Astyanax mexicanus: one gene and its partner. The protein of the gene in region 1 purifies or fractionates together with the protein of each later gene. This does not show direct contact. Links are inferred from orthologs where the notes say so. Each region holds a gene or a part of one and is shown on either strand. Other genes may lie near its edges.

Region 1 (16,911 bases):
TCAGTCACACATTAACTGCAAAGTGCTCTAATATACAGCTCTGTAAAAAATCAAGAGACCCCTTCAGTTTCTGAATCAGTTTCTCTGATTTTGCTATTTATAGGTAAATGTTTGAGTAAAATGAACATTGTTGTTTTATTCTATAAATTACAGGAAACATTTTCCCAAATTCCAAATAAAAATACTAGAAATGGGACGATCGATCGGCAGTGTATCGGTATCAGAAGATTTTCAGCCAAAATACGGTATCGGCGATTGATATTCCTCTGATTTTAGCCGATCCGATTCAGGAGTTTAGGGTTAAGCAGTTTATCAGAGCTGTGTGTGGATTACCGGTGGAACTGCTCATTTACAAGAAGCTGCAGTTCCTCATCCAACCACTAGCCGGAGCTGCAGCAGCAGCACAAGCCCCGCTGTCTTCACTGAAGTCAGAGCTACAGCCCAGCCACGGGCTACAATGGTAGCTCAGCCAATCTGGAGCGTTTTTCAGTTTTCTTAATTTCATCTGTGTAGTAAATAATGGTTTTAATCCCACTAACCGGATAATACAGCTCTCTACAGTTCATCTTTCTGCCCAACCAGTGAGCTCACAAGCTAACAGCAGCATCTTAGTGCAGCCGTCACGGAGTCACTGCTTGTATTACATTATAAACAGGTCAGTTATTGCGCTTTACTGTGAGTTTAGTGGACACGGCCGCCAGTTTAGACTGTTGAAGGCTACTGAAGACTATTAAAACCTGTTGGAGGTTATTGAAAGGGTTATTGGGGGCAGAAATCAGTAAAGGCTGGTTAGATAAGTGATTAACGAAGGCCTTGTCCCTCGCTGTGGTGAAACTGTGACTAGCGCGGTCACAATGATGTTTATTAACCAAATTAAAACAGATTTCATTCTTTCCTACTATTTGTGAGTTTAGTTAAAAGCTCTGTTTTATTGCTGTTACGTTATTTACAAAACATATGGAGTTTAAATCAGGTCTGCGCTCTTAATTGCAGTTTATGAGGGCAGGCATAGTCAGACTGGATGTTTTTGCCCAATCTAAGCTCTAGCTGGAGCGATGGATTACTGTTGGTCTTATTAAAATATTGTATTATTATCTATATATTAACAGTAAATGAGATATTTTAAGCAGTAAGTTGACAAAACAGGCTGAGGCGGCTGATTTTGGGATACACACTCCTGTGGTATTGACATAAAAATTATAAAAATTCTGGTGTCTTGCAAATATTTACACATTACTTATATCTCTCCTGAAAAGCTTTTATTTTGGTCAGTAACACTCTTTTGTTTGTTTACTATCAGTGTAAATTACCAGTGTTTGCTTAGGCGTGGATGTAATTAGGGGAATCTGTTGCAGGTTTGCCTGGCACCTGTGTGGCATTTGGCCCCGCCCAAGATCGGTATCGGCGAGCGGCCGATCGAGGTAAAAGGCGATCGGAATCCGCCCCCAAAACACTGATCGGTCATCTCTAAAAAATAATGTTATTTAACCCATTTATTTGCAGAAAATGAGAAATGGCTAAAATAACAAAAAATATGCAGAGCTTTCAGACCTCAAATAATGCAAAGAAAAAAAGTTCAAATTCATAAAGTTTTAGGAGTTCAGAAATCATTATTTGGTGGAATCACCCTGGTTTTTAATTGGTTTTCATGCATCTTGGCATGTTCTCCTCCACCAGTCTTACACACTGCTTTTTGATAACATTATGCCACTCTACTAAGTTCAGCTTGGTTTGATGGCTTGTCATTATCCATCTTCCTCTTGGTTCTATCCCAGAGGTTTTCAATTTGTTAAAATCAAAGAAACTCATATTTTTTTTAAGTTATTAAAAAAAAAGTTATTTTTAAGTGTTTTTAAGTTATTTTTTTTCCAGAGCTGTATATGTAAAGAATGTCCACTTTGCTTAAACGCTCACCACTCTCACTGCTGATCGTTTTTCTCCTCAGATAAGGGGTTGGTGAAGGCTGTAATTAAGAAGGTGCTCATGAACACGAAAGGCCAGGATGCACAGGTAACACACTCACAGTATGTTTAAGAATATAATCAGGAAATGTTAAAGGAGTGACTTTGAATCTGGGCTTGTGTTTGCAGTATCTTTGGCTGAAGCCTCCAGCTAAGGATGCACATAACCATTCAGGACAGATGATAAGGAGAAACACAGGAAGGGCTTCCTTTAGAGCTGGTATGGCCACCCCTGAATTAATTGTACAGTTAGGAAAATAAGTATTTGAACACCCTGTGACTTTGCAAGTTCTCCCACTTATAAATCATGGAGGAGTCTGAAATTTAGTCTGCCTCTAAAAAGTCCACCTCCACTCCACTTATTATTCTAAATTAGAAGCACATGTTTGAGGTCATAAGCTGCATGAAGACACCTGTCCACCCCACACAATCAGTAAGACTCCAACTACTAACATGGCTGATTTAAAAATCATACATTCTGATTTCTGGATTTTTTTTTATTAAGTCTCTCACAAAGGACACGCACCAAACGTGAGCCCTTCATGATTTCACACCCCTCCATGATTTCTAAGTTGGAGAACTTGCAAAGTCGCAGGGTGTTCAAATACTTATTTTCCTCACTGTATGATATCACACATGATGTGCGACTGTGTAATAGATATTCTGAGTTTATATCAGCTCTATCTGTTAAAGGATCTCGCCGGACTTCATCAGTTACGTATGGATGGAGGCAACCTCGGCCTGGATCCACTGGTTATATCCCGTGGCGCACAGCAGCACGAGCCACACTTCAGAGGTTAGAGACACTGTGTACCTTTTATACCTATCCATCTTTCCATCTTTCTCTCTGTCTTCCTGTCTGTGCGATTTGTCTGTCTGTCGTTGTGTGATTTATCTGTTTCTTTGCTTGTCTGTTGCAATCACTATCAATAGTGTTTATTAAGTGTTCATTAATTTAAACATGTTTCTGTCTGATGTAGGGGTCTTCCACATGGTGCAATTACAGCAGATCAGAGTTTTCAGGTTTGTTTTTCTATTTTTTGCCTGAATATTTACATTTGTTTATGCTGGATAAAATATGCAATTTTTAAATATTTACTTCATGATCACTCCTTCAGAATGCCTCCACTATCCGAGTCACTCTGGAGTCAGAGAGCGAATCAGAGTCTGAGGAAAGAGAAGATGTGTTGCCAAGTGTGTGTGCACAGAGTCCTCAAGGAAATATAACCAGCAGGCAGTTCAGGCATCTGCAGGCAGAATTCAAGTGCCTAGAGGTAACATCTTAACTGTATATTAAATGTTTTTCTTTTTCTTCTTTTTTTTTTTTCTGTGTATGGTACAATAGCTCCCTCTCTTCCCCATTACTCAATGTGATGCTATACTATATTCTTGCCAGTTATGTTGCTTTATATTTCTTGTAATGCAAGAAATGATGCATTGACAGCTTAGTGTACCTTAACTAGTAGTTGGGAATTGGAAATGACTAAATTGTGGAGAAATATTGGAAAAACATTATTTTTCAATAAATATGCTTTGAAGAATGTGTTGAATGTGCAGTATGTTCAGTGTAGTTACTCGTGTAACCTACAGGTGGAGCTGCAGGAATGCAAACTCAGACTTGCGGAGGAGAGAAATACAATACTGAAAGCTAATTCTCGCTTGGTTGAGGTACAGTTAAATATCTACCTTAATATAAATATCTATCTTCATATAAATGAATATATACATTTCATGCATTGTTTTGTTCTCTCAGCTGGAGTTGGAGAATAGTCGTCTGCGCAGTCTGAATCAGTCACTGTCTGAAGCCCATATCAGCCACTCTGTTCTGGAAGATGAGCATGTGCTGGACAGCATTGAATCTTCTTTTCAGAAGTTCCATGCCTTTCTTGACCTTCTCAAAGATGCTGGGTATCATTTTCTTACATTTGCACACTGATAATTGCAGTTTTGGCTTAGTGTTTTTTAATATTAGTCTTAAATTAAGTTTTTTTACATGGTTAATATGTTTTATGATTATTCCCAGGCTTGGCCAGTTGGCATCCATGGCTGGTATTGAGCAGTCAGACTTTGGTTGTCCTCAGCTCTCCTCCACACAGCAAAGGGGCCAGAGAGACCAGGGCGATGTGCAGAGACAGGATGATGTTGCTGTAAGTGACATTTATTTCAGTGAGAACTAGAATTCTCCAGAAATACAGTTGTTGAGACTCTCATTAAGATTATATTTTTTTTTTTACTGCTGCTCTGCCTTTTTCTTACTGCACTGACTTTTTGTTATTATCAGTCTGTATTAAAAATAGCAAAACATCACCATCTTTTATTTTTTGTAAATTGTGTGTAGGTTTTGCGTTCATGCTAGAGACCTGCAGGACTCGTCAGAATGTCTTTGGGCGATGCGGGAGCGGGACCACATATACATGTAGAAAAATCCTGCAAATGAATAAATAGTCTAGAAAATTTATAACAATCATGCAATGATTTCCATGCATAACGAACAAAAGAAAAACAACTAATCAATCAGTAATAATAATAATAATTCAATTTTTTTTTTACATTTTTTAAATTACTGAATCAAACCCTTCATCCAGTGTACAGTCCTAAATCCACCTCTACTACAAGATTCTTCATCTGGCTGCAATGCGAGGAACAAAAGAAAACTGATAAATTTTAAAGCGGAGGATGGACCCACACACACACACACCGATGGGACAATATCAACTTCCCCAATTCACCTGACAGCATGTGTTTGGACTGTGGAAAGAAATGGGACAGTTCTATCCAGCGCTATATATATATATGTTTTAATAAACACATAAGTAAATTTCAAGCACTACATTTAATTAATTAAGTTCATTTTAGGAATAGAAATGTGTATGTGGCGGGCAGGCACAGAATGAAAACAAGCGATTATTGGTGGTAGCGGGCAGTAACGGGACTAAACATGCAGGAGCGGGCAGAAGCGGGCTTTAAAAAAGTAGTGCAGTGCAAACCTCTAGTTCATGTCTTTGTAATTTGTGCAGCATGTGGTTTTGCATTGCCTTGTTCGAAATGCCTGGACATCCCTGGGGAAGCAGTTGTCTTGAGCATATGTTGCTCTAAGATCTAAATCTACTTCTGCATTAATGCTGTGTCTCAGAAACCTCATGAGAGAACTTAATTACCATGAAAGATCTTGCTTACGTCATAACTTTCTGTATTTATTCCACAGAAAACAGACAACCCTGAAACAGCATCAAGACTTCAGATGAGCAGACCCTGCTCTAGAACTTCTGCTGCCTCCAAGCATTCTCCTCATGTTCAGTCACCACAGGAGCTTCCCTTCAACCCACCCATTCACTCCAGCACCCCTCCTGCTCCACTGAGCCAACCTGAGGTTGCACAGCAGCAATGGAGTTTCTCCCCACCCCAAACTAGTATTCACAGATTTTCTGGTTCTGAGAAAAGTCGGGACAGTGGAGGTTCCAAGGGAGGTTCAGGGAGTTCAGCAAGTAGCATACACACAAGCATACACAGCAGCAGAGTCTCCAATTCTTACAGAGACGACTTCTCTGACGGGAGGGTTTCTCCTGCTCTGAGCTCCAGATCTTCAACTGTCTCAAACGTTGAGAACCAGAGGAGTGCCACTGGGTTTGCTGGATTATAGAGCCCAGCTCCATTTGTAAAATGCATTTAGACTGTGAGCTTCAATGCTAAGTGCCATTGTTTACTGATGATCGCAGTTTTTAAAGAAATAAGAAATGTCAGAAAAACTTATTTTTCGCAATATAAGGCTTACCATTTTATAAGGCGCACTATCAATTAACTATTTTCTGGTCGATTTCCATACATAAGGCGCATTTAAACAGACTCTATGGAACTTCTAATTTAGCAGGTCAGGTAAAGCTAAGCTAAGTAAACAAAACTGTAACAAAAATACTTTCTTTTAAAGTGAAACGAGTGCTGGATGTTCACCTATACAGATTTCTCTCCTGAAAACTGTTTATTAGGCTGAGTATAGTGCTTTCGTTTACAGTAGGCTTAGATTCCCCAATTTCTCCAGCAATAAGGCTGCTAAGAAGCATTAGCAGCGAGCCACTAGCAGTTAGCGGCTACTGCCACCCAGGAACACTACACTGAGTCACCCTAAGTGCTCCAGTAAGCCAGGGCAATATTAGCTAGTGGTTCGTCCCACGTAGCTTGTTTTAACACAGTAAACACGCAGACCACAGTCCGATATACTTACCTCTGAATGACAAACGTTGTAGCGCAGTTAGCGGCTAATGCTAATGCTGCTCCAGGTACAGTCCGATAATACTCACCTATGAATGGGGAAATAGCGGCTAGCAGCTAATGCTAATACTACTCCAGCCTCGGTGCTGGAGAACTAAACTGAAACTCCTGTAATACACTGTACTTCAGCGGAGTGGCTTTACTGCTCCTTACAACCTGACTGGTAAAATTTATACATAAGACACACGGATTAAAAGGCGCACTGACCATTTTTGTGGAGAATTAAAGGAGATTTTAAGTGCGCTTTATAGTGCAAAAAAAATATGCTAGTTCTGTTGGCTATGCTGCTGTGTGCAATTTTAGAAGGAGTCTTCTGTTGAGCAGATGTATGTCTTTAGACATCTTTTAGTTGATGTTTAATAGTATGGCAAGTCTTTTTGGTCTTAAATGCCACCAGTAATACAAATGTAAAATTTATCTGTTTAATTCTCATATTTAGGGTTTCTGTAATGCAACCAAATTTTCTCCCCAATTTAGCTTAGCCAGTCAATGTACCCACCCACTACGACCTCCACTTATCACTTAAAATGTTTCTATGGCTGGGAGGGTCTGAACAAGTGCATGCCTCCTCTGATACACATGATGTCATCTACCACATCTTTTTTAACTGTTTCCAATGCAGCATTACTAGGCATTCAACTCTGAATGCTTTACAGAAAGCACTCTGATGCATTTTAACCACAGACCCCTGTATCGGCCACCATCACAATGGTGGTGATGATGAGGAGGAGGAGGAGGAGGAGGAGGAGGAGAGAGGGACCACCATCTACTAACCCAGAGAGAGCCGGGTCAATTGTGCTCACTTAGGTACCTGTAGAAACCTGTAAAGGATATTTTTATAGTCATATTGACAAGATCACATATCTTTAATTTCATATTGGCAAGGCATATCTATAAATTAAATCTCTTCGATTTTCATTTGCACTAGTAAATTGTTTTTTCGTGTGCCATTTTGGGCTAAAACTGTTTGCCAAACAAGTGTTAATTGTACTAATTGAAAAGCCATTTTAAAAGCCATTTTTTCAGTCTACACTTTTAACTGTGTAAAAAAGCAGACTGAACGTGTTTGAAATGTAATTTACATTTTCTGTATAACAGATTTTAAACGCAGGGTTTGTTTTATTTATTTTTTTATTGCTGTTTTTTAAGTGTGAAAAAAAATCGGTCACCCAGTTTGTATCCTTTATTAACTTTTCATAGACTGTGAAAATGAATTTCTTGTGAATAAATGGATAACAGATACAATATGTTGCTTGCTTTCTTAATTGAACAACATTTACATTGTAAGAAATGTCCACAGATTTAAAAAAAAATGATTCAATCAGAGAGGCTTGGTGTAAAATGAGGCTTTGAAAGAAAATAACAGACTTGTTTTTTTACTCAATCTTTTGGGTGACTTCAGTACTAATTTACAATGAATGGAAAAATATAAGAAAAAAAAACATTGAATAACAAGGTGTGTCCAAACTTTTTACTAGTACTGTATGCCAATCTAGTACCTGTATCCTCTTCCACAGACATGCTTTTACACATTACAGTGTGCGGCGTGTGGTTTTGCATTGTCTGGTTGAAAAATGTGTGGATGTCCAAATAAAAGATGTTGTTCTTGGTCAAGGGTCTTTCTGCATGAATAATAAATCAAAATACATCACTTGAAATTAAAAGTAAATTTAAATTAATTTAACAACATTTTCTGTGAGCAGCATGTGTGATTTTGAATCACAAAACTCCTACTAAATATTAACCATTTCATGCAATAGCTACTTTTCATGAGGTAGCTTATTTTTAATACTGTTCTTCCACAATATTATGAACAATTCCGAAAGTTTATCTAGTCAGAGCTAGCTGGCATATCACACTTTAAGCCCCTCTGAATAATTTTGTTTACAATCGTATAACTTGTTAACTTAGTTAAACAGCCAAACACCCTATATATTTCAGAGGGGCTCCCGGGCACCGACGTGGCTGGAAAAAAGTATTCTGCTGTAAACAACTGTATGTATAAAAACTATAAAATAAGACACATTAATACTTTAAAAGTAAGAAGTACATGCGCTAGAACCTCAATAAAGCGGGTAACATTTTTCAAGGTGTAATTTTAGTAGCAAAGTTCATATAAGATAATACTACAGATATCTTATATTAGCAATACATATTTCAAACATTACACATGTATCTACCCAACTTAGTGAGTGTGGTGAGACTAGACAACCCCAATAAACAAACCAGTCTGGACAGAATAATGTGGCTTTATATAAACGGTATGGCAATTCATTAGATCAGCTGAACTCAGTCTATTGCACGGAGTGGAAAACGGAGAGAAATCACGAAATAACGTGGACACTCTTTTTACAACAGAAGTAAAAAGTCGCCGACCCAAAGAAACAGAGAAACGAGCGCAAACGCAAACAAATGAATCCTATCCGCCCTTACGCCATTCCTCCAAATCAGCAGCGCCCCCTCGCGGCGGCTTGTTCGCGTGAATGGAGTGGTGCATTTGTGTGTGGATCAGGTGCAGGAATGCAAAAGGAAAGTCTCAAACGCCAAAATACGCGAGAGGAAATGAACAAAAAAACAAACGTGATCCACAAACTGCAGATGCACACTTTATAAATACATTTTAAGTTTGAAAATATGCAAGTACATGTAAAAGAAATGCATTCAGTTTTACATGCAAATTATGATTTATACATAAAAACTAGAAAAGTGTATTTATGAGTTTGACAGTATTTGTACCAATTGCAGGTCGTGAGACACAGACTGAAATGTATTTATTTGTGAGCAGTGAAATGTATTTGTGGTGTCTGTGTAATTAATGGATTATTTTTTTACACATTTGTCAGGAGTTTTGAGACTAATCTCTATCCATAAAATTGCACCGATTCGGCGGAATAGCAGGTAAATAATTGTCCTGGAATAAATGAACATGACGTCTCAGAGTCAAATACAGAAAGCTAAATCAGCATTGGCTGCTTTCTGTGGCGCCTGTGTTCTTTCAGCCAATCAGAGCGGCCGGTATTAGATGTGCCCGTTTGCCTGCAGATGCTTTCTGGTGCACAACTTGCGTCTCTGAGCCGGTAAGATTTAATCCATGTATTAAAAACAGACATATATTCCTGCAGGGAATATCAACATGCTGCAGAAACCGGCTTTTTAACACTGAGAGGGGAGGAAGAGAGCGTTATATGGGTTAGCTAAGCTAGCGTTAGTTAACCGTAGCTAGCGGAACGTTAGTAAGAGTGAATGGGACTGTAAACAAAGAGTGTCGCTGTGGGAGTTAATAGCTAGCTGGGTTAGCTAACCAGCTAACCGCTAATAACAATACTTTTATATCGTTATATAGGTTATTTTAGCGTTTTTAATAAATTGCACTAGTTGACACTGACTACAGGAGCTTCGCTATATTATTAGGTAAGGTAGCTAACAGTAAATACTGTTTGAAGCCAGTGTGTTCAGTAAAAAGCTAGTTATGAAGATGACACTGACAGCCAAACTATAGCTTAACCAACGTTAGCCGTTAGCTGATATATTTTAATTTTTACTACAGTGGTGCTCAAAAGTGTCTTAACCCCTTAGAATGTTCTATATTTCTGCATAATTTTGACCTAAAACCTCAGCCAAACCTCACACAAGTCATAGAACAAGTGGCGAGGCGACCCAGGCGACCCAGAAAAAAACTAACAAACGAGCGAGGTATAAACATTAGACCAGCAAACAAACATGAGTGGCAAAATAATGTGCCAGTTTAGGATTAGCATTTTAATTGGGATGACACTCATGTGTGATTGTGCAGTACCCTCTTTTATGTAAAACAAACAAACAAAAAAGCAGGGATATTTTAAAGTCTGATCCTTATCGTAGCACAAAAGGTTACAAAGCCATCTCTAAAGAGTTTGGACAGACTGTGTGAAAACTGAAGGAAATTTAAGACAAGTAACTTTTGTTCTAAGCAAGGCCTTTTCACATTTGCTAATGTTAATGTTCACGAGTCCACGTTAAGGAGAACGATAAATACCAATTTTGTGTGCATAAAAGGAATAATGTCTTGTGTATGGATGAGATAAAAATAGAACTTTTTGGTTTAAACGAGAAGTATAGGTCATTTTTTGTCTGTTCTTGTGTTCTTGTGACTCGTAAAGCATCATCAGATGCAGCCCAAGTACTATTCCATTTAGAAGATCACAGTTAGCCAAGTACACAACAAATACCTGGATGGGTTTTTGCTCTGCCCACGTTATTGAGGATGCATGGAAGGTGACTTGTGTGAACTTCTTACAGTCCTATTACCCACAATATACCTCGCAGCCGGTGCGGCAAATCTGAAACCAGAAACATTTTGTTGCAGTTTTTGGTGCACAAGGAATGTCACACCAGATCCTGAAAGCGTCAAATACTTTTGCCGTTTACCGAAATGTAAAATTGGATTAGATTGGAAGGGGCTCACAAACCATTTAAAGCTACCTACTGTGTTTTTCCTTAGAAATGTTTAATTATTAGTTTGCATTTAAAATGATCTGTCTTGGTTCTGTGAGCTCTGTGGGTCATTTAGGTTCAGCGTAACACTAGATTGCTGATATTGTTAAAGAATATAATAGCAGCTAGAGTTTAGGTAGCCTTTTTAATGTGATAAAGATTGCTAATCCTGTCTTCTGATTCTTGTCATCTTTTTACAGAACCTAATAATTAGTCAGTGGTGATGGTTAACACATAACAAGCCATGGTAAGATTGAATCTGTGTCTTTTAACTGACAATCTTGTTCTCCATAGAAAGATATGGAAGTCCATGCTTTTTGCAACATAATATCTTTTAGACATATAGAAATATTTCTATTTTGGTGACTTCTCCTCAAATGTCTTACTTTTTGCTAAACATTGTGCAGAATAATAAAAAAAAGTTGTTATATATGGTTTATTTATTTATTTATTTTTTTATCTTATTTTGACCGCAACCCATTTCAAGCACATGGTGAACTAACATTGTAAATTACAATTTATGCAACATCATAAAATCTAAGAGTGCCTATATACATGCGTAAATTATGAAATATATAGATGTAGTATAGTAAGGAAAACTCAGTTGTGTTACAAATATGAAAAATCGACATAAGACCTTAAGAGCTTAAGTAAATCATTTCAATATTAAAGTACATTTAATGGCAAATACTTTACATTTAAGTAGAAATACAAAACTAAGGACTTTCACTCGAGTTCATGGTTTGGTTGCTTTTTTTTTTTCATTAAAATGTTTATTAAATTATTTGCTAACTTCATTTCTTTCACAGATCCGGATAGCTGCTCTTAATGCAGCCTCTCAGACTGCAGATGAACATGAGGATCACTTTCGAAGCGCTAAACCCAGTCAGACCAAGGAGGCTCAGGTAAGTTTTGCTTTCTGTAATCTTGATTAACTTTGTGATGTCACTGAAAGTTTCTTTCTATTAAAATTGTCTCCCCTCTGTCAATTTCCATCCCCTGTTCTTCACTGTTCTGCAGGAGGCAGAGGCATTTGCCCTGTACCACAAAGCTCTTGACCTACAGAAGCATGACAAGTTTGAGGAGTCGGCCAGAGCTTACCATGTGCTTCTTAAGACACCGCTGCTTAGGGAGGTAAAAATGTGACTCTTGCTGTTTGTGAAATTAGATGAGGCTGTTTTGCTGATATTTTTGTAATTAACAATATGTCTGTTATTCTGGATTTGTTTCAGGCGGTGGCGTCGGAAGATGAGAAGGTCGGGCTCAAACACCCGGGGTTAATGCTGAAATATTCCACCTACAAAAACCTGGCCAGTCTTGCTGTGCTTAGGGATGACCTGGACACTGCCATGGACTTCTATGTGGAGGTGAAATCTAACAAACTGATCACAAGTATTATGGATTGTGGATGGATTTATATAGCTCTGAAAAAAAAATGACTTAATTTTTTTTTTTTTTTTTACCAAATTAAAAAACCTCTGGAACCATCAAGAGGAAGATGGATGATCACAAACCATCAAACCAAGCTGAACTGCTTGAATTTTTACACCAGGAGTTGCATAAAGTTATCCAAAAGCAGTGTAAAAGACTGGTGGAGGAGAACATGCCAAGATTGTTTTCTTTGCATTATTTGAGGTCTAAAAGCTCTGCATATTTTTTGTTATTTCACCCATTTCTCATTTTCTGCAAATAAATGCTCTAAATGACTATTTTTGTTTGGAATTTGGGCGAAGTGTTGTCCATAGGTTCTGGAATGAAACAATGATGTTCATTTTATTTAAACATATACCTATAAACAGCAAAATCAGAGAAACCAATCCAGAAACTGAAGTGGTCTCTTAATTTTTTTTTCCAGAGCTGTAGATTAAGATGTATCCTATGCATTATAACAGGTCTGTCTAGCTCTGGTAGTCTAGAGAACCTTAGTTTTACAGTTTTCAGTTACAGCTTTCTTGCCAGGTCTTGAGTAGCTTCAGCCATTCTAGAGTAGCGGATGTTAAAACTGCTTAGCCCATAAATCAGATCAATAAAACATTACACAGTTACAAACTACACACTAGCTTCTGTTGGACGAGGGGAGCGCCAATGGTCCAGCTGTCTAAATCTTTTCCACTATGATGAGGAATTTTGTGGTTTGAATCCCAGTTATGTAGCTTGCCATCAGCTGCCGAAGATTAGTTGTACATGGGAAGGTGAAGGTATTAGTGAGAAGATATTATTATTGGTCACCCTTAGTTTATTTTAGATTATTTTAGTCCCGTTCAAATGCCCCATGTCATTTTTTTTTGTCAGACTGCACGCTTCTGCATCTTTAAAGATTCTGGCACCAATTATCTTCTGTAAAACGAGCCGTAAAAATAATCTCAGGGTATATTAAATGTACAAATCTAAATGTTGATAAATAAAATGTCATAAAATACTGTGGAAAATAAGGTTTTGTAGCTTTTCAAAGCTACAAAAGAGTAAGAGTTGTGTGCTTTAGTTTAAAAGAACGCAGAACATTTGTTCTCCTGATCGTGTTTGTTCATGTTTATTTTCTGCAGGCTGTTATGCTGGACTCTACAGATGTGAACATGTGGTATAAGCTGGGTCAGGTGGCTCTGAGGAGAGTCAGTATCCCATTAGCTCGTCATGCCTTCGAGGTGGGACTGCGCTGTAATCCTGACCACTGGCCGTGCCTCGACAGCCTCATCACCGTCCTCTACACACTCAGCGACTATAGCTGTAATTACTTTACCAGTTTGTTCACAAGTGCTTTGTTGTGCTTCTAGTGCTAAGCTCAAGCCTTATCAAAAATTAACTCCATCAGTGGAGTTAGCAAATGGAATACGGGGCTGATGCAATTGCTGATAATTCAAGTGGCTCATTGATTTACTACACTGACCTAGTGTTGGGCAGTATGACCAACAATGTATATTTTGTTATTTTAAAAGATTCCGAATGTTTCACAGTATATCATGGTATTTATTATTATGATTATTATTTTTATTATTATTATTATTTATTTATATTTTATTGCATGTCTGAGCTTAAATATAGGTTTGTGACTTATAATATCAAACATTATGGCTTAGATTTAAGGCTTTTATTTTTACTGGGTTTACTTTGTCCCACAAAATTACACAATATATTAAGAAATCTGACTTCATTATCAGGAACAGCTGAAGAATATTAACATTAGACTTTTAACAGGCTTCCTTTACAAAACTAAACATTTTAAATAGTTCCAAAAACATCATAAATTATCCTAAAATAAGCTATGTTTAAGTATTTTAAAGATATTTCTCAAAAGCTCTATTTTACAAGTTTAATATCAGACACAAGTTTAATATCAATTTACAATGTTATTCCTGAAGCCATTAGAGGAATTACAGTATTAAAATCAGCCAAAATTCACCTTTTTTTTCTCCAAATTAAATTCAGTGTGCATTAATATTATCCATCAAGCTACAGTATTTATATATTTAAAGAAGACTATAGTTATTTCCTTGTATTCAGTGTTTTAGGGAATCTTATCACGTTTACTAAATAAATGACCGATTCTGGGCTTGTCTGGGGCATTCTCCAGTGGACCGTTTGAACCGGTATACCACCCAGCAATACTTTTGTCTAAAGGTGAAGTATTAATGGAAATAATTTTACCTAGATAATAATAGTAATAGATGAGCTATTTGTACATTTATTTATAAGCTATTTATAGTATTTTATGATACTATTATTTGTCTGTTGTTTTTATCTTTATATCCACTTGAGTTTTTGACATTGCCATGCTAGCTAACTAGCTACAGCTGCCATCCAAATCAAATAAGCATGCATGATTTGATTCACTTATTCAGATTACTGATTCAGTTTTACAGGCTGTATATAGCATTGAAAGCATCGAATGCAACAGGATTTAAAACGATTTTGAAATTGTAGTATTGAAAAGCATTGAACTTTCGATGCTTTGTGAAACTCCAGATTGTATATAATGTTCTTTGCTTCTTTGTGTCATTTTTTTTTCACAGGCTGCCTGTACCACATCTGCAAGGCTCTGGAGAAGGACATAGGCTATACTAAAGGTCGGGTCCTGAAGGAGAAGATCTTTGAGGAGCAGCCTTGCCTCAGACGAGACTCCATGAAAATGTTCTCAAAAATGTACGCCTGCTCAACATTCCTCTTCACTTGCTTCACTAAACATTTGTGGTCTGCAGACATTAATCGAGTCTAATTATCACAGCCCTGCTGTATTCAGTCTGTGAAACTGGCCGTTAAAGATTTAAATGGGGGATCTTGTCTTGATTTGATGTTTCATGCTGTCTACAGTGATATGATGGGATATCAAGGTGAGATTGATGAGGAGGAAGCTCACAGCATTGTGGAGGAGGCTCTGGAACTGAGGAGACAAAGACAAGCCAAGCTGACCCCACATCACCGGCCAGACCTTCAGTTGGTGGAGCCCATCAAGCGCTTTACGTGAGTCCGTCATGCGGCTAAATCCTTGCTCCTGTTATGTTAATCTTTAATAAGGAGCAACATCAAATTCATTCTGTTACAACTGATGTTTTTGCTAAGCAGTTTTATGTAAATACAGTAATTTAGTATATGAAAAAAGGACGCAAACACATAGAACAGATGTGTAAACCACCTGTGAGCAAGTGGCAAGATTAAAATCCTTTAAACTATGCGGAAAAAAAATCTCACAATGGGGAAACCTATCCTCCTCTGGTGAAAACTGTTTATAAAATATATATGCGTAAGACATATTATCATATTATACATATTATTCAAATGATAAATTCAGTGTACCACTTCACAGTCTGTGATTTTGCTCAGGTGTACTGGTAATAGCGAATATCAAAAAAATATTTATAGTTATTAATAGTTATAATACTAATGATGATGATTATGATAAAATAAATATAGTAATAATAAAGTTAACAATTTAATCAATTTTAAAATTAATAATGTTAAAGCTACAGACTTGTCTTCCCCCATACATCCAACGAGAAGTCCACAGACAATAAACAAACGGTGGTAAAAAAAAAAAGTAAAACTTACTTTAAAATGCTGCTCACACAGCCACTAATAAAATTTAGTTTCTGTTTGTTCCCTGAAAGTCTCATCCAGTTGGATGATGTAGTCCTGATGTCACACCAATTTTCTAAAAAAAATTCAGATTTCTTTTTATTTTTTTTTATTTATTTTTTTTTTTAAGTCTATGCATAATTTCTTAATTGCTTTCAAATATGCTTGTCTGGAAATTATTTGAAATTTAATTTGCCCTTAATTATTTGCTATTTTTATTCTATTTTATTTATTCTTTCAGATTTTTTAATTCCCACTTTTTAGCAGGAATGTTTCTCGTGAAGTTGTCTGTAGAGCAAGCCTTTATTTGACTCTTATTTTGCCATAATTTGACCCCACACTCATCATTTGACAGACAAATTAAATAAGTGTAATGGGCGTTTAAACAAAAAAAATCTAAACACTTTTGCCTAGCAGAAAAAAATATTATGTGCTCCAGAAATATACAATATTTATCCTGTAAAATTCTGAACAGGAGAGTCACATGCATTTTAACATCGTTATTGATTTGTTTGCATGACTGCACATCTAAAGAAGACAATCCAATCAAATGGTCAGTTAATGTCTGACACATTTTCTAATTATATGTTCTTGCTCTGTTTCCTACTAGCTGGAAAAGTGTGGGGGACAGTTTCTTGGCCATGTATAAACACCAGAACGAGTGCTTGGTTCCCCGACCCGACTTTGGACGAAGAATCGACCTGTCCATGTACAAGGACCCAGACTGCCTTGCCCAGACACTTCCTACCACCACGACCACCACCACCACCACCATGCCAGCTGCTGATACTCTATCCACTGCTCCGCTTCCAGCTCCTGACCCTCCACAGCCAGCCCAGTTCACCCCTGCTCCCCTGCCTGAGCTCCCCCCTCCACCTCAGCCTGGCTCCAGCAGCCCCAGCTCCAGCTTACCCACACCCTGTGAGCTTCCTGTTCAGCTGCAGGTGCCGGTTGGCTCCCTGGTACAGTTCTCACAGAACCAGAACATCATGGAGATCGGCGCTGCTGCTACAGTGACTACTACTGTTGCTGCTGTGAATGGAACTACTGTTGCTGCTGCTGCTTCTTCAGCTCCCCCTGTTGGTTAGTATTAGTACTTACAGTGCTATGGGTTGCTGTATAATGGTTTATATATGGGGAATAG
Region 2 (15,968 bases), on another chromosome or scaffold:
ATAATAAAATAAAATTAAGGTGCTTGATAGAATGACAAAAATGAATAAATGTCCACACTTATATAAGGGATCAGAAAATGTAATGATTTTTTATGACACAAATAACAATAATGTTCTAATCCATATAATATAATAAATATTTTAAGAAATGATGGTCGGTCAATCTGAAAAAGCTCAAGATGTTATGATGAAACAGGCTTTCATCAGGACCGTTCCAGGAAAGGATGATCAAGGGTTCCGTCTGTTGTACAGGATAAGATCATCAGAGTTACCAGCATCAGAAACTGCATGTTAACAGCTCCCCAGATTAGAGCACCAAAATGCTTCACAGAGTATTTTGGTTTGTTTAACGCTTTTAAGTTACTACATGATTCCTTGTGTCGTTCTTCAGTCTGGATCACTTTAGTATTCATTTACAAAATTAAAAACTTTGAATTAGGTGTGTCTTTTGTCTGGTAGTGCTTATATGTGTTTAAATTATATATAATAAATATACATATAATTTGAATTATATGTTCAACCCTTTAATATAAGTGCCCATATATGGCCATATATAAGTTTTCTGTGTAAACAGAATACTATCCGCTTCTATTGTAAAGTGATTTTACTTTCTATGGATTCTGCTGCCCTCTGCTGCCACGCAGTGAGTAGTGAATCTTACTACAATTTAATCATTTAGCTCTTTTCTATCAATTAGCCTTTAAATTCAAGTATTTAATGAGTTAATTTAATGTGTTAGTAATGAATGAATGAAATTGCAATAAAGCTTTTAAATAAAAGAATATAAACTTTTTATCAAAACTGTAGTGATTTAATATAGGTTATTGTGAATTTTTATAGACCAACCATTATTTGAAAGAGGCAAATATTGGATTACACAAAATATTGATTATATTTATATTCAGCAAGCTAAAGATAATATTACTAGATAAAACTACTATTTTTATATACTTTTTGTAATTTTTAAACATGGTTATACATATGTCAGTTTGACCTGGAATCAGTAGTAGGGGTTGGATATATTAATATTATAAAAATGAATAAATGTTCACACTGAAAATGTAATGATTGTTTTATAAATTCATTTATTATATATGCACATATATATATATATATATATATATATATATATATATATATATATATATATATATATATATATATTGTATATATGTACAACTCTTTAATATGTGTGTCCATATATGGCCATATATATGTTTATATACTGTCCGTGATATTATCTTGCTATTTTGCCCAGAATATCGATGATATCCCAATTTTGTGATTCTGTGATTATATCCCAATTTTGTGATTCTGTGATTATATCACAAGAAATCACAAATTTGCTAAATAAGCAAATACAAGAAATTATGTGTTTATTCGTTATCCTGTTTCTTAGGGTACAACGTTAGGTCTAACTGGCTTTGAGCTCACAAGACTTTGTTTGTTTGTTTGTTTATTTGTTTGTTTGTTTTCTTCAGTAGAAACTAGTGATGGGTTCGGCAACGCTGATGCGTCGGCACATGCGCAGAGCTCCTAGAGCAAACCCCGCATCGGTGCGCATATCGGTTTCAGCAGGTCACATGACCCATACAGGAACTGTTTCGAAAGGACACCAACGCGCCAAATTGTTCTACTAACATTTTAAGTGTGCGTCTTAAACATTCTCTAAACAGTCATATAGGCAATATTATATTATATATTATTTCTTAATACTGGCAGCAGATTCTGCCAAAATAGGTTTAAATGCTATAAGAATATCCCACCAATCTCTATCATACTTCTTCTGCATCTTCTGATATGGTGCTTTTAACTTCATCACAAAATGTCCCACCTACAGTCATATTTAAACAAGGTTTACATTTAAAGCATCAGCCTTTAAGATTTTGTTCTCTTAAATGGAAAACAGTAGTGTTTTTGAGTGAGTGCTTCTGCTACAATTCCTGCAAAGCCACATATATTCATTATAAAAGCAGGGTGTCTGATAGGTCCCAGTAAAATACGAGGCTGAAGTTGGCGTCTTATTCGCCAGTGTCTTATTCGGATTTTCCGGTCCACCTTAAAAAGTCGAAGTACCAATTATTCGCCAGTAGAGAGCAGGGTTGAGCCGAGCAAAACGAGTTTGGCATTTAGGGCATATTACACTGAGAATACATTGCCTGTTCTGGGTATTTCCAGTTGCCCGAACTCCAGATTATCAAATAGTCTGTTGAATTTGACACCACATTATGAAAATATAACTAGTATACTGTGAATAGCCTAAAGAACTTAACATTTAATGTACAGTTTTTTTTATTATGAGCCTCTGAACTTGGCATTTGAGAAGATTAAAGGAGAATAAATTGCCTGTTCTGCATATTTCTAGATGCCCTAAATCCACATATTCAAATAGTCTGTTAAATTTGACACAAATTATGAAAATTTACATATTAAACTGTGAAAATCTTTAATAACTACAAAGATTACTGTACAGTTTATTATTATGACCCTCTGAACATGGCATTTCAGAATATGTCAGTAGAATAAATTGCCTGTTCTGCATATTTCCAGTTACCCTAATTCCAGATTGTCAAATAGTCTGTTGAATTCAACACCACATTATGAAAATATACCTATTAAACTGTGAATAGCCTAAATAACAAAACATATTACTGTACAGTTGTTTTATAATGAGCCTCTGAACTTGGCATTTGAGAAGATTAAAGAAGAATAAATTGCCTGTTCTGCATATTTCCAGATGCCCTAAATCCAGATTCTCAAATAGTCTGTTGAATCAGACACCACATTATGAAAATATACCTATTAGACTGTGAATAACCTAAAGAGCTAAAAATATTACTGTACAGTTTTTTTATTATGACCCTGTGAACTTGGCATTTGAGAAGATTAAAGAAGAATAAATTGCCTGTTCTGCATGTTTCCAGATGCCCTAAATCCAGATTCTCAAATAGTCTGTTGAATCAGACACCACATTATGAAAATATACCTATTAGACTGTGATTAGCCTAAAGAGCTAAAAATATTACTGTACAGTTTTTTTTATTATGACCCTGTGAACTTGGCATTTGAGAAGATTAAAGAAGAATAAATTGCCTGTTCTGCATATTTCCAGATGCCCTAAATCCAGATTCTCAAATAGTCTGTTAAATTTGACACAAAATCATGAAAACATACCTATTACACTGTGATGAGCCCAAAGAGCTAAAAATATTACTGTACAGTTTTCTTTATTATGACCCTGTGAACTTGGCATTTGAGAAGATTAAAGAAGAATAAATTGCCTGTTCTGCATATTTCCAGATGCCCTAAATCCAGATTCTCAAATAGTCTGTTAAATTTGACACAAAATTATGAAACTATACCTATTAAACTGTGAACAGCCTTTATAACAAAAAAAAATACTGTACAGTTTTTTTATAATGAGCCTCTGAACTTGGCATTTGAGAAGATGTCAGGAGAATAAATTGCCTGTTCTGCATATTTCCAGTTACCCTAATTCCAGATTCTCAAATAGTCTGTTAAATTTGACACAAAATCATGAAAACATACCTATTACACTGTGATGAGCCCAAAGAGCTAAAAATATTACTGTACAGTTTTTTTATTATGACCCTGTGAACTTGGCATTTGAGAAGATTAAAGAAGAATAAATTGCCTGTTCTGCATGTTTACAGATGCCCTAAATACAGATTCTCAAATAGTCTGTTGAATCAGACACCACATTATGAAAATATACCTATTAGACTGTGATTAGCCTAAAGAGCTAAAAATATTACTGTACAGTTTTTTTTATAATGAGCCTCTGAACTTGGCATTTGAGAAGATTAAAGAAGAATAAATTGCCTGTTCTGCATATTTCCAGATGCCCTAAATCCAGATTCTCAAATAGTCTGTTGAATCAGACACAAAATCATGAAAACATACCTATTACACTGTGATGAGCCCAAAGAGCTAAAAATATTACTGTACAGTTTTTGTATTATGACCCTGTGAACTTGGCATTTGAGAAGATTAAAGAAGAATAAATAGCCTGTTCTGCATATTTCCAGATGCCCTAAATCCAGATTCTCAAATAGTCTGTTGAATCAGACACCACATTATGAAAATATACCTATTAGACTGTGATTAGCCTAAAGAGCTAAAAATATTACTGTACAGTTTTTTTATTATGACCCTGTGAACTTGGCATTTGAGAAGATTAAAGAAGAATAAATTGCCTGTTCTGCATATTTCCAGATGCCCTAAATCCAGATTCTCAAATAGTCTGTTAAATTTGACACAAAATCATGAAAACATACCTATTACACTGTGATGAGCCCAAAGAGCTAAAAATATTACTGTACAGTTTTTTTATTATGACCCTGTGAACTTGGCATTTGAGAAGATTAAAGAAGAATAAATTGCCTGTTCTGCATGTTTACAGATGCCCTAAATCCAGATTCTCAAATAGTCTGTTGAATCAGACACCACATTATGAAAATATACCTATTAAACTGTGAATAGCCTAAATGACAAAAAATATTACTGTACAGTTTTTTTTATAATGAGCCTCTGAACTTGGCATTTGAGAAGATTAAAGAAGAATAAATTGCCTGTTCTGCATATTTCCACATGCCCTAAATCCAGATTCTCAAATAGTCTGTTGAATCAGACACCACATTATGAAAATATACCTATTAGACTGTGATTAGCCTAAAGAGCTAAAATATTACTGTACAGTTTTTTTATTATGACCCTGTGAACTTGGCATTTGAGAAGATTAAAGAAGAATAAATTGCCTGTTCTGCATATTTCCAGATGCCCTAAATCCAGATTCTCAAATAGTCTGTTAAATTTGACACAAAATCATGAAAACATACCTATTACACTGTGATGAGCCCACAGAGCTAAAAATATTACTGTACAGTTCTTTTATTATGACCCTGTGGATTTAGGGCATCTGGAAATATGCAGAACAGGCAATTTATTCTTCTTTAATCTTCTCAAATGCCAAGTTCAGAGGCTCATTATAAAAAAAACTGTACAGTAATATTTTTTGTTATTTAGGCTATTCACAGTTTAATAGGTATATTTTCATAATGTGGTGTCTGATTCAACAGACTATTTGAGAATCTGGATTTAGGGCATCTGGAAATATGCAGAACAGGCAATTTATTCTTCTTTAATCTTCTCAAATGCCAAGTTCAGAGGGTCATAATAAAAAAACTGTACAGTAATATTTCTAGTTATTTAGGCTCCTCACAGTCTAATAGGTATATTTTCATAATGTGGTGTCTGATTCAACAGACTATTTGAGAATCTGGATTTAGGGCATCTGTAAACATGCAGAACAGGCAATTTATTCTTCTTTAATCTTCTCAAATGCCAAGTTCACAGGGTCATAATAAAAAAACTGTACAGTAATATTTTTAGCTCTTTGGGCTCATCACAGTGTAATAGGTATGTTTTCATGATTTTGTGTCAAATTTAACAGACTATTTGACAATCTGGAATTAGGGTAACTGGAAATATGCAGAACAGGCAATTTATTCTCCTGACATCTTCTCAAATGCCAAGTTCAGAGGCTCATTATAAAAAAAAGTGTACAGTATTTTTTTTTTGTTATAAAGGCTGTTCACAGTTTAATAGGTATAGTTTCATAATTTTGTGTCAAATTTAACAGACTATTTGAGAATCTGGATTTAGGTCATCTGGAAATATGCAGAACAGGCAATTTATTCTCCTTTAATCTTCTCAAATGCCAAGTTCACAGGGTCATAATAAAAAAACTGTACAGTAATATTTTAGCTCTTTGGGCTCATCACAGTGTAATAGGTATGTTTTCATGATTTTGTGTCAAATTTAACAGACTATTTGAGAATCTGGATTTAGGGCATCTGGAAATATGCAGAACAGGCTATTTATTCTTCTTTAATCTTCTCAAATGCCAAGTTCACAGGGTCATAATACAAAAACTGTACAGTAATATTTTTAGCTCTTTAGGCTAATCACAGTCTAATAGGTATATTTTCATAATGTGGTGTCTGATTCAACAGACTATTTGAGAATCTGGATTTAGGGCATCTGGAAATATGCAGAACAGGCAATTTATTCTTCTTTAATCTTCTCAAATGCCAAGTTCAGAGGCTCATTATAAAAAAAACTGTACAGTAATATTTTAGCTCTTTAGGCTAATCACAGTCTAATAGGTATATTTTCATAATGTGGTGTCTGATTCAACAGACTATTTGAGAATCTGTATTTAGGGCATCTGTAAACATGCAGAACAGGCAATTTATTCTTCTTTAATCTTCTCAAATGCCAAGTTCACAGGGTCATAATAAAAAAACTGTACAGTAATATTTTTAGCTCTTTGGGCTCATCACAGTGTAATAGGTATGTTTTCATGATTTTGTGTCAAATTTAACAGACTATTTGACAATCTGGAATTAGGGTAACTGGAAATATGCAGAACAGGCAATTTATTCTCCTGACATCTTCTCAAATGCCAAGTTCAGAGGCTCATTATAAAAAAAAACTGTACAGTATTTTTTTTTGTTATAAAGGCTGTTCACAGTTTAATAGGTATAGTTTCATAATTTTGTGTCAAATTTAACAGACTATTTGAGAATCTGGATTTAGGGCATCTGGAAATATGCAGAACAGGCAATTTATTCTTCTTTAATCTTCTCAAATGCCAAGTTCACAGGGTCATAATAAAAAAACTGTACAGTAATATTTTTAGCTCTTTGGGCTCATCACAGTCTAATAGGTATATTTTCATAATGTGGTGTCTGATTCAACAGACTATTTGAGAATCTGGATTTAGGGCATCTGTAAACATGCAGAACAGGCAATTTATTCTTCTTTAATCTTCTCAAATGCCAAGTTCACAGGGTCATAATAAAAAAACTGTACAGTAATATGTTTTGTTATTTAGGCTATTCACAGTTTAATAGGTATATTTTCATAATGTGGTGTTGATTTCAACAGACTATTTGACAATCTGGAATTAGGGTAACTGGAAATATGAAGAACAGGTAATTTATTCTACTGACATATTCTGAAATGCCAAGTTCAGAGGGTCATAATAATAAACTGTACAGTAATCTTTGTAATTATTAAAGATTTTCACAGTTTAATATGTAAATTTTCATAATTTGTCTCAAATTTAACAGACTATTTGAATATGTGGATTTAGGGCATCTAGAAATATGCAGAACAGGCAATTTATTCTCCTTTAATCTTCTCAAATGCCAAGTTCAGAGGCTCATAATAAAAAAAAACTGTACATTAAATGTTAAGTTCTTTAGGCTATTCACAGTATACTAGTTATATTTTCATAATGTGGTGTCAAATTCAACAGACTATTTGATAATCTGGAGTTCGGGCAACTGGAAATACCCAGAACAGGCAATGTATTCTCAGTGTAATATGCCCTAAATGCCAAACTCGTTTTGCTCGGCTCAACCCTGCTCTCTACTGGCGAATAATTGGTACTTCGACTTTTTAAGGTGGACCGGAAAATCCGAATAAGACACTGGCGAATAAGACGCCAACTTCAGCCTCGTCAGTAAAATAGCACTCATTCTGAACAGAGACTGCAGCACAATGCTTGTTTAAAAAAAAAAAAAAAAAAAAAAAAAAAACTTTATAGCATGCTCTGTGCAATTACACATTCTCACCAAAAACTTAACTTACAGACTTTTGGAATTTAAATATATACCCTGGTAAAGTAATGAAAGAAAGATGATGGGCCTCCAGCAACAAGGACAGCGCCCTCTGCAGTACAGAGGAACCTGCAGAAAATTAACAGGCAGCCATCTTTATTGCAGAGGGATATTATTTCAGTCCCTTGTGTTTTATCTAGATTGGAATAAAATATATATACATGCTCAGTTTCACTGTCAAATTTGCCACATTTTAAAATCCCAGAGAAATTTATTTTTAAAAAATTAAAACTTTTTTTATCAGATGTATTTTTAGGATGCTGTCTTGAGATCAAATGTCTATCCAAACAAGTATTATTAGAATCATTGTTTTATAGGCTAAAAATAGTAATGATTAACATGTGTCAAATTAGTAGTAAAACTAGCAGGTAAAATCTTTATCTGACCCATTTTGGAATGGTTGTAGGGCAAAGCATTTATATTTTAAAAACAAATATCAACATAAATCAACTTATTTGTATATAAGTGCATTGGTTAATGTAATTCTCACTGTTCTCGTGCATTGCCTGAACACACACAAAAAAAAAATAGCTTTAAGAGCTCATGGTTGAGCCGACCAACTGCCGCCAACGTCTTCACAGGAGTTTTGTTCTTCTGACTGTGCTGCACAAGTCACAATCAGTTTTTGTTCAATATTATAAAAAAAGAATCAGGACAATGTTAGAAAAAAAAAACAATTTACAATAGGCTTATGTATTAAGCCTACATAAATTAGTAGACTACAGAGTGAAATAGTGAACTACTGAGACTACTACTACTTAAAACTTTTATGAAAAATGTGTTCTACCTATTCTAAAAATTTCTTGCATTATAATTTGAAAGGGTCCCTTCTTTTTTGTCATGTAGTGTGAAAGGTAATTAGGTAATTATTAGGCTAATTTTAGAAAGAAATTAAGTCACAATAACGTGTATATTATCTCTGTCTGTGTTCATCTGTAACTCCGCTCCTGTGTTCGTCCGTGTCTTTACCTTAACTATTGTCACCTGTATTCATTCGTAGCTCCGCCCACCTAATTCCCCAGGTGTTACCGGTTCCCTTTCCCGCCTTGTGTGTGTATTTAAGCTCCTTTTTGTGGTCAGTGTTGGTTTGTCGGTTCTTGTGCGTGTATACGTCTGTCTCGGCTGCGGTTTGTTCTGTTCGATTCGTGATTCAGTTTGTACTCAGTTTCTGTTTATTTGCTTTCTGTTTAATAAAGATTACTTGCGTGTGCGTCCGCTCTCCTCGTCCGTCCTTTGCTGCAGCGTGACACTGTACATATTTTTTTAAAAATAAATCACTTAAATACATCGTTTCAGTAGTTCACACGTTGGAGTTTATGATATATCTAGTGGCTATTCCAGTGTAAATGGTTTTAGATTAATTGGGAAAGTGCTTAAGAAAGTGTTTCCTCTATACTATTAATTTTATTCTGATATTGGACTTTTGGATCAGATTGCTTATCTATGTTTTAAAAACGGTCTCTGAGCAAAAGGTTAAAGATTAAAGTGATAGTTAAACTATTGTTACTTTTTAATGCTTTATGCCAAACTGTTTAAAAACAAATACTTGTGTCAAGAAATAGAAATCTGCATGAACATTTGCAAATAACTTTTTTTTTTTTTTTTTTTTTTTTTTTTTATAATTGTCTCACTTCTTTTTCTTGGTGGTTTTCATGAACAATAGGTTTCTGACTGTATTGACACAATAAGTGTATTAAAAAAAAGCTTGTTAAGGGGGGCGCGCGCTGATGACGCCTTGTTAGGTGGGCTTGGTGGGCGGGATGACCGACCTGATCCTGTCCAATCAGGCTGCGGGGATGCTGCGAGCGCTGATGATGATGCTGATGATGATGATGCTGATGATGATGCTGGGCTGTGTTGCTGCTACTGCTGCTGTTGAGGAATTCTGGGCTCTGCTCTCAGCTCAGCTGTCATTTCAGAAAGCTGAGGTTTGAGATGGTGGATCAGCTTCAGTCTCGCTAAACCTGCGTCCCGATTCTCATCCGACGCTCAGCCGACGTCGAGACGATGCTCGGTCCGCTGATGCGTCTCTGAACGAAACGAGGCCTGGATCGCCCTAATCCGGGTTCATCCTCAAACAGAGATGCTGAACGAGGAGCTGAGCATCAGACGACCGTCTGAGGAGGTCGACCACCCATCAGCTCGTGTCTAGGGGGGGCATGCACTGAAGCTCCAGCTTCTCGCTTTGTTTTTCAGGCTGTTTCTCCTCCTTCCAGAGCGGAATAATGCGCCAGCATGCCTCTGAGGAACCTCCTCTCCACACCGGCTAAAGCGACACCTCGGCCGCTCGCTATTGGCTTTCCAATCACTTAAGTTGGCGCACCTGTGCACGCGCGGGGAAACGACGACAGGTGCAAATGGCCACGCCGCGAAGGATCCAGCTCACGACTCTCTCGAGCGAGGTCGTTCCCCCGTCCCTCCCCAACAGCCATGCCGCCCCAGACGTGCCCCCTACCCAGCAGGCGGCAGATCCGCCGCCCCCCGAGACCACCGACCCGGTTCCATCCGCGAGAATTCAGCTGGTCCTGTTTGAGCCGGATGAGCGGCGCTGCCCGGAGTTCTACTACCCCGAGCTGATCAAAGGACAGGTAAGTTACAACTCACGAGAGGGCACGTGCCTGTTCAACACTCTCATAAATACCTGTACACAACTGTCACTGGTGTGATACACACTAAAAAACAGAGGTACAATAAAAGTTTACATAATTGTTACATATTGGTGTAATATTGGTCTTTACAGGCTCAGATATGTTTCCTAATAGCCGGAAGAACAGATTTGTACCATTTTACCAGCCAAAAGCGTACATTCTGTATTCTGTATCACTTTACAAATAAACAATGCAAATTGTAATTATACATTTTTATTTGAAAGCCAGACAATTTTGGATCATCAAGACACACATTCAGTTGATGATGTTTATAATCTTTATAATCTTTACTGGTACAAAAAAAAACATGGGTACAAAAAAGACTTTTAATGAAGAGTAATTTATTGTACCTCAATATTAGGTACAGCACCAGCAACAAGCTTTATACTCTTAAGTACAATCTGTACTTATTTTTCCTAGTGTGTACCTAACTCTCTTTTAGTCAATGGTGTGGCAGCTTACCCACTTCTAGTCACTGATGTGTTGCCCTCTTCTAGTCACTGGTGTGTTACCCTCTTCTGGTCACTGGTGTGTTATGGTGTGTTACCCTCTTCTAGTCACTGGTGTGTTCGCTTACCCTTCTAGTCACTAGTATGATACCCTGTTCTAGTCACTAGTGTGTTACCCTCTTCTAGTCACTGGTGTGTTATGATGTGATACCCTCTTTTAGTCACTGGTGTGGTAGCTTACTGTTCTGGTCACTGGTGTGTTACCCTCTTCTAATCACTGGTGTGATCTCTTACCCTTTTAGGTAACTTTAAGAAGTATAATTCAAACAACAGCTGTTATTTAACCAGTTAAACCAGTTGAAATGAATCAGGGTAAATAGGCAGCACTGCAGACATGGCAAAAATATCCACCCCCCTATAAAATAACACTGTATTAAATGTATAAAAAGTTATTTGAAGTAATGATTGACATTCCTCTAAATCTGTAATAATGTTTAGAGTAATTATGGAAAAGAGGTCGTTTACTCAACACGAGTCATGCTGTGAGCAAAAGGTTATTAAATATAATTTCACTGGTGTTTTACTGCTCTTTACACTGGTATTACCCGTCACAAATATATTTTATTCATATAGCATTTTTATAACTGATGAACCATAACTGTAAGCAGTATAGAGAATCAAATAAAACACAACATAGAACAAGAAGCCCCAGTGAGCGACAGAGGCAATAAAAATCTCCCTCAGAGCTGGAGGAGAAACAAACCTTGGGACACATGATGTTTGTTTGTTTGTTTGTTTGTCTGTTTGTATGTTTGTTTGTTTTAACAGTAGTTAACAGGGCCACACCAGTACCAGGCCAGACTGCACTGGATTAGACCAGTGTGTTTTTAGCTGCAAGTGGAAGTGGTGGGTGGAACCCACTTTGATGCTATTTATAAATGTGTTAAATCAGAACTGATTCAGAGGGAGGAGAGGTAGAGAGAAGAAGAGACTCCACTGAGAAGTGTCTGTCTGTCTGTGTCCCTCTTGCTCTTGTTCCCTCTCTCTCTCTCTCTCTCTCTCTCTCTGTCTGTCTGTCTGTCTCTGTCTCTGTGTCTATGTCTGTCACTGTTTTCATTTTCCATTATACCAGAAACAGGTTATATCTACTCAGTAATTATTATTACATTTTTGGATATACAGAGTGAGAGTAAATGCTGGTGAAAAAAAATCTGTATTTCTTTTAAATTGCAATATATATTGAAAAAAACAATATCCAGCCCTATAATGTAGTTTATAATGCTGTTTGTTTTTATAAAACGCACGTCTTTCTGAATGTACTTGTGCACAAAAATGGTTCTATTTATGGTCTATAAATGGTTCTACTTTCCATTCCAGTCAGTAAAGTTCTAATGAGATTCCATAGGAGCTCTTTGTCAATGCTGATTGATACATCAGTTGGTTTGTAATTATGATTGTAACTAATCCTGTCCATAGTATGTCTAAGATGTGAAACAGTTTTCAGTTCTGCTGTAGAAATAAATAGAAAACGTTTTTATAAATGTATAATTTTATAAAAGTATTTTATGTTTCTGTAATTTCGAGGTTCCTAAAGGACCAAAAGCAGTTCTGATGTGGCATCACTCAAAGAAGCATTTGTGTGTTTTTTTCTTTTTTTTTTTTTTAAGAGTAGATCATGGCACAGATAGAATTCCATTCTGGCTTCTCTTCTTTCCTCTTTTGAAGATCACAAATGGAAGCAATAGGAAAACTCTGGAAGAGCAGATTGAAGAGAAGGAGAGGGATGAGATGGAGGCCCTGTCCAAAAAGTTTGAGGAGAAATATGTAAGTTGTAGGAATGCAACAAAATTAGCATTTGTGGCTGAATACCAAACATGTTTTTCACAGGTTTTCATTAAATCTGCCACATTTTTCACTATTTAATAAATGACATAGCTTTTGTGTATTTCCTCATGCGTTCCAAAGAAAAAGCAATTACAAAACTATGATTGTATCATTGAACACTAAATATTTTTAACATCCAAGCAGACAAACCATCCAAGCGCAATACATTTACCTCAGCAGTGCTGTTTTAATCTCAAATTAAGCTAGCCAGCCACCTCAGCAGTGCAGCATCATTCATGATTTTACCTTTAGTCCTTAGTGCTACCTCATGAAAATGTTAGAGGAAAGACTGCAATATAAATTCAAATAAATTAACATTAACATTTTTTGATTTTTAAAGCTAGGTAAAACTCACAGGAATGCACGTGCCTGTTTAGCAGTCTCATAAATACTCACTGTGGTTTTACCCTTCTAGTCACTAGTGTAGTAGTACCCTTATAGTCACTAAGATGTTAGCCTACCTCTTTTTTAAGAAGTGTAATACGACAAAGTTGTTTCACATAATCAAGTTAATCGAAACAGGGAATTTATGGTACAGCACATAAACAAAAATACTGGGAACACCCGCTCCGTTGTTTTTTCTTCTTTCTTTTTCGACTAGAATATTGTGTAACCCTTTAGACATAATGATATGAGTTTGATCATGCTAAAACACATGTATTTTCTATTGTTTGTTTTAGGTCTCTTGTTTCATATGTGGATTTATTACCTAATTAATTTCTACATTATGGTGATGGTATGAACTGTATGGAATGTATTGATATCTGGTAATACTATTATTTTCTAGGGTGGTGCTCCTAAACGACGGAAAGACAGATTACAGGATCTGGTGGACATGGGCTTTGGATATGATGAAACAGACTCCTTCATCGACAACTCTGAAGCGGTGAGTTTTGGAACAGGGCAGAGTTTCCCCCCCACACACAAGCTATAACAATAATCTGCTGAGGTTTAAATCTCTGATTTATCTTAATCAACACAGGATCAAAGTCATACATCCAGCCTGTGATTCCAACGTCATTCCTTTTTTTAGATTTTAGATTTTAATGGTCAGTTACTTTTCTTCTTTCTGGATCACAGAAGGTTTTGTTGCAGTATGTTCGGAATGAGTTCAGATATTCTGTTAATTTTTTCACAGTGTGAACTGGTTTGCAAAACATTATTTTCTTAACCTTTTAAATTTTTTAAACCTGTTTTATTCTTGTATAATGTTTGAAGTATGATGAGCTGGTTCCGGCCTGTCTTACAACCAAACATGGAGGGTTTTACATAAATTCTGGGACGCTCCAGTTCCGCCAGGCGTCAGAAGAGGGTGAAGAAAATGAGACGGATGACTTTGAGAAGAACGTTAAGCCTAAGGTGTGTCTTATGTGACTTAAGGTTGTTTAACTCATTTGCCTGAACATGTAGGAATTTCCAGGCATAAATATTGTGTGGCCTAAATTCTTAAGTTTCTAGGAATATCTAGTTCTTAACATCTAATTGTTGAACTGTAAGGCTGTGGAATATCTGAAGCGTTTACAACTCTTCCTGTTACTGAGCCAAGCTTAAAATGAGCCAAGTGTAAAATTGTAAAAGAGTCAAATTGTCCAGAACTGTTTATGTGTAATATATTCATATATTAACACACACTATATGAATAGCATTAAATCAGTAAGTGTCATTGTTCATTACTATAACAAAAAAACAAAAAAAAAAACTGGTTGGTTTGATCCACAACATTAAAGTATCATTAACTACATGTGATAATATTTAAGAAGCCCAAACTAAATTTTATCATTCTGTTAAAAAACATGACTTCCCTAAATGTTGTTTGGAAAAAACAAACGTGCTTCTCTAAAGCTATCATAAATTCATAAAGTCATTACAAAGTAAATTACAATAGCTTTTATTAACACATTACAGAACATGTATTAAAGACACTGATGGATCTTAAATTGCTATTTTCAACATTTAGGCACCCCAAACCTTGAGGGCTCTGCATTATGCTCATCTTATCTTTATAATAATCGACAACATTGCCAAAAAAAAGGAAAAAAATTGTTAACATAGAATTGTATTGTTGATGCGTGATTAATGTGTGATGAAGTGGACAACAGGGGTAATGAGCTCACTTCCTCATTGATTGATTACATTGTATATCATGACATGGTAAAATTTTAAGTAATAAATAAGTTCTGTTAATATGTACATCCAATTGAAATAATAATAATACTTACACATAATAACATTACACAACAAGTGGTGACAGACAATCAACATAGTACGAGAACAGACAGCAGGGATAAGTGGTATAGTACATTAAACAGAGGGAAGGCCGTAGGCAAGAGAAAAGAGGTGAGTCTTGAGTGTAGATTTGAACAAGGAAAGAGAGGAGGATTGTTTGACCACAGATGGGAGAGAATTCCATAGTTGAGGAGCAAGTCTGGAAAAAGCCCGATCACCAAAGCCACGGAGTTTAGAGGCTGGGACTTTAAGAAGTCCAGCAGTAGCAGACCTAAGGGATCGAGATGGTCTGTAAGGAAGAAGGAGGTTTGACAGATAAGGAGGTGCAAGATTATTTAATGCCTTATAGGTAAGTAAGAGAATCTTGAATTGAATCCTGTATTTAACAGGGAGCCAGTGAAGATTTTGGAGAACAGGTGTAATGTGTTCATGGGTGCGAGTGTGAGTGAGTAAACGGGCAGCTGCGTTTTGTACCATCTGGAGTTTATGGATAGAGGAAGAACTAATGCCAGCAAGCAAGGAGTTACAGTAATCTAGTCTGCTGGAAATAAAAGCATGAAGGAGTATTTCAGCAGTGGACTGAGTAAGGGATCGTCGAATTTTAGCTATTCTGCGCAGATGAAAGAATGCAGTTTTCACCACAGAGTTGATGTGAGCTGTAAAAGAGAGAGTGGAATCTAGAAGAACGCCCAAATTTCGGACTTGGGTAGAGGGAGAGATTACTGTACCGCCAAAGTTGAGAGAGAGAGTAGGAGTTTGATTGAGGACTGCTTTAGTGCTGATTAGGATGAGCTCGGTCTTATTACTGTTTAGCATGAGAAAATTGTCCTTCATCCAGTTCTGGATCGCAGAGAGACAGCTTTCTAAATGAGTAGTGGGTGGGTTATTGATAGAACTAGTGCTAAGATAAATTTGGGTGTCGTCCGCATAACAGTGGAAGTCTAGGTTAAAGTGACGCAACAGAGGCCCAAGAGGAAGGATATAGATGATGAACAGGAGAGGTCCAAGGACTGATCCTTGTGGTACTCCGTGTTTAATCACAGAGGTATGGG

The links.
Region 2: the proteins of cabin1 (region 1) and ubn1 purify together in Homo sapiens (affinity purification with western blotting; 6 studies listed by BioGRID, with this or other methods). This does not show direct contact. The link is inferred for Astyanax mexicanus from reciprocal best matches to the Homo sapiens genes CABIN1 and UBN1.

What each region holds. Positions count from the first base shown.
Region 1 is NC_064419.1:22,919,541-22,936,451, forward strand, and holds the start of cabin1 (calcineurin-binding protein cabin-1), read left to right. Parts: upstream 1-9,219; 5' UTR 9,220-9,304; intron 9,305-9,379; exon of another isoform or gene 9,380-9,638; intron 9,639-10,900; 5' UTR 10,901-10,944; coding exon 10,945-10,947; intron 10,948-11,509; coding exon 11,510-11,605; intron 11,606-11,720; coding exon 11,721-11,834; intron 11,835-11,932; coding exon 11,933-12,067; intron 12,068-13,243; coding exon 13,244-13,424; intron 13,425-14,707; coding exon 14,708-14,837; intron 14,838-15,005; coding exon 15,006-15,155; intron 15,156-16,377; coding exon 16,378-16,850; intron 16,851-16,911. Other genes in the region: cep78 (centrosomal protein of 78 kDa), read left to right, coding at 1,356-1,421, 1,946-2,010, 2,091-2,181, 2,655-2,757, 2,942-2,984, 3,080-3,235, 3,552-3,629, 3,715-3,869 and 2 more. UniProt on the Homo sapiens protein: May be required for replication-independent chromatin assembly. May serve as a negative regulator of T-cell receptor (TCR) signaling via inhibition of calcineurin. Inhibition of activated calcineurin is dependent on both PKC and calcium signals.
Region 2 is NC_064428.1:15,990,538-16,006,505, forward strand, and holds the start of ubn1 (ubinuclein-1), read left to right. Parts: upstream 1-9,534; 5' UTR 9,535-10,066; coding exon 10,067-10,297; intron 10,298-12,531; coding exon 12,532-12,630; intron 12,631-13,477; coding exon 13,478-13,576; intron 13,577-13,908; coding exon 13,909-14,049; intron 14,050-15,968. UniProt on the Homo sapiens protein: Acts as a novel regulator of senescence. Involved in the formation of senescence-associated heterochromatin foci (SAHF), which represses expression of proliferation-promoting genes. Binds to proliferation-promoting genes.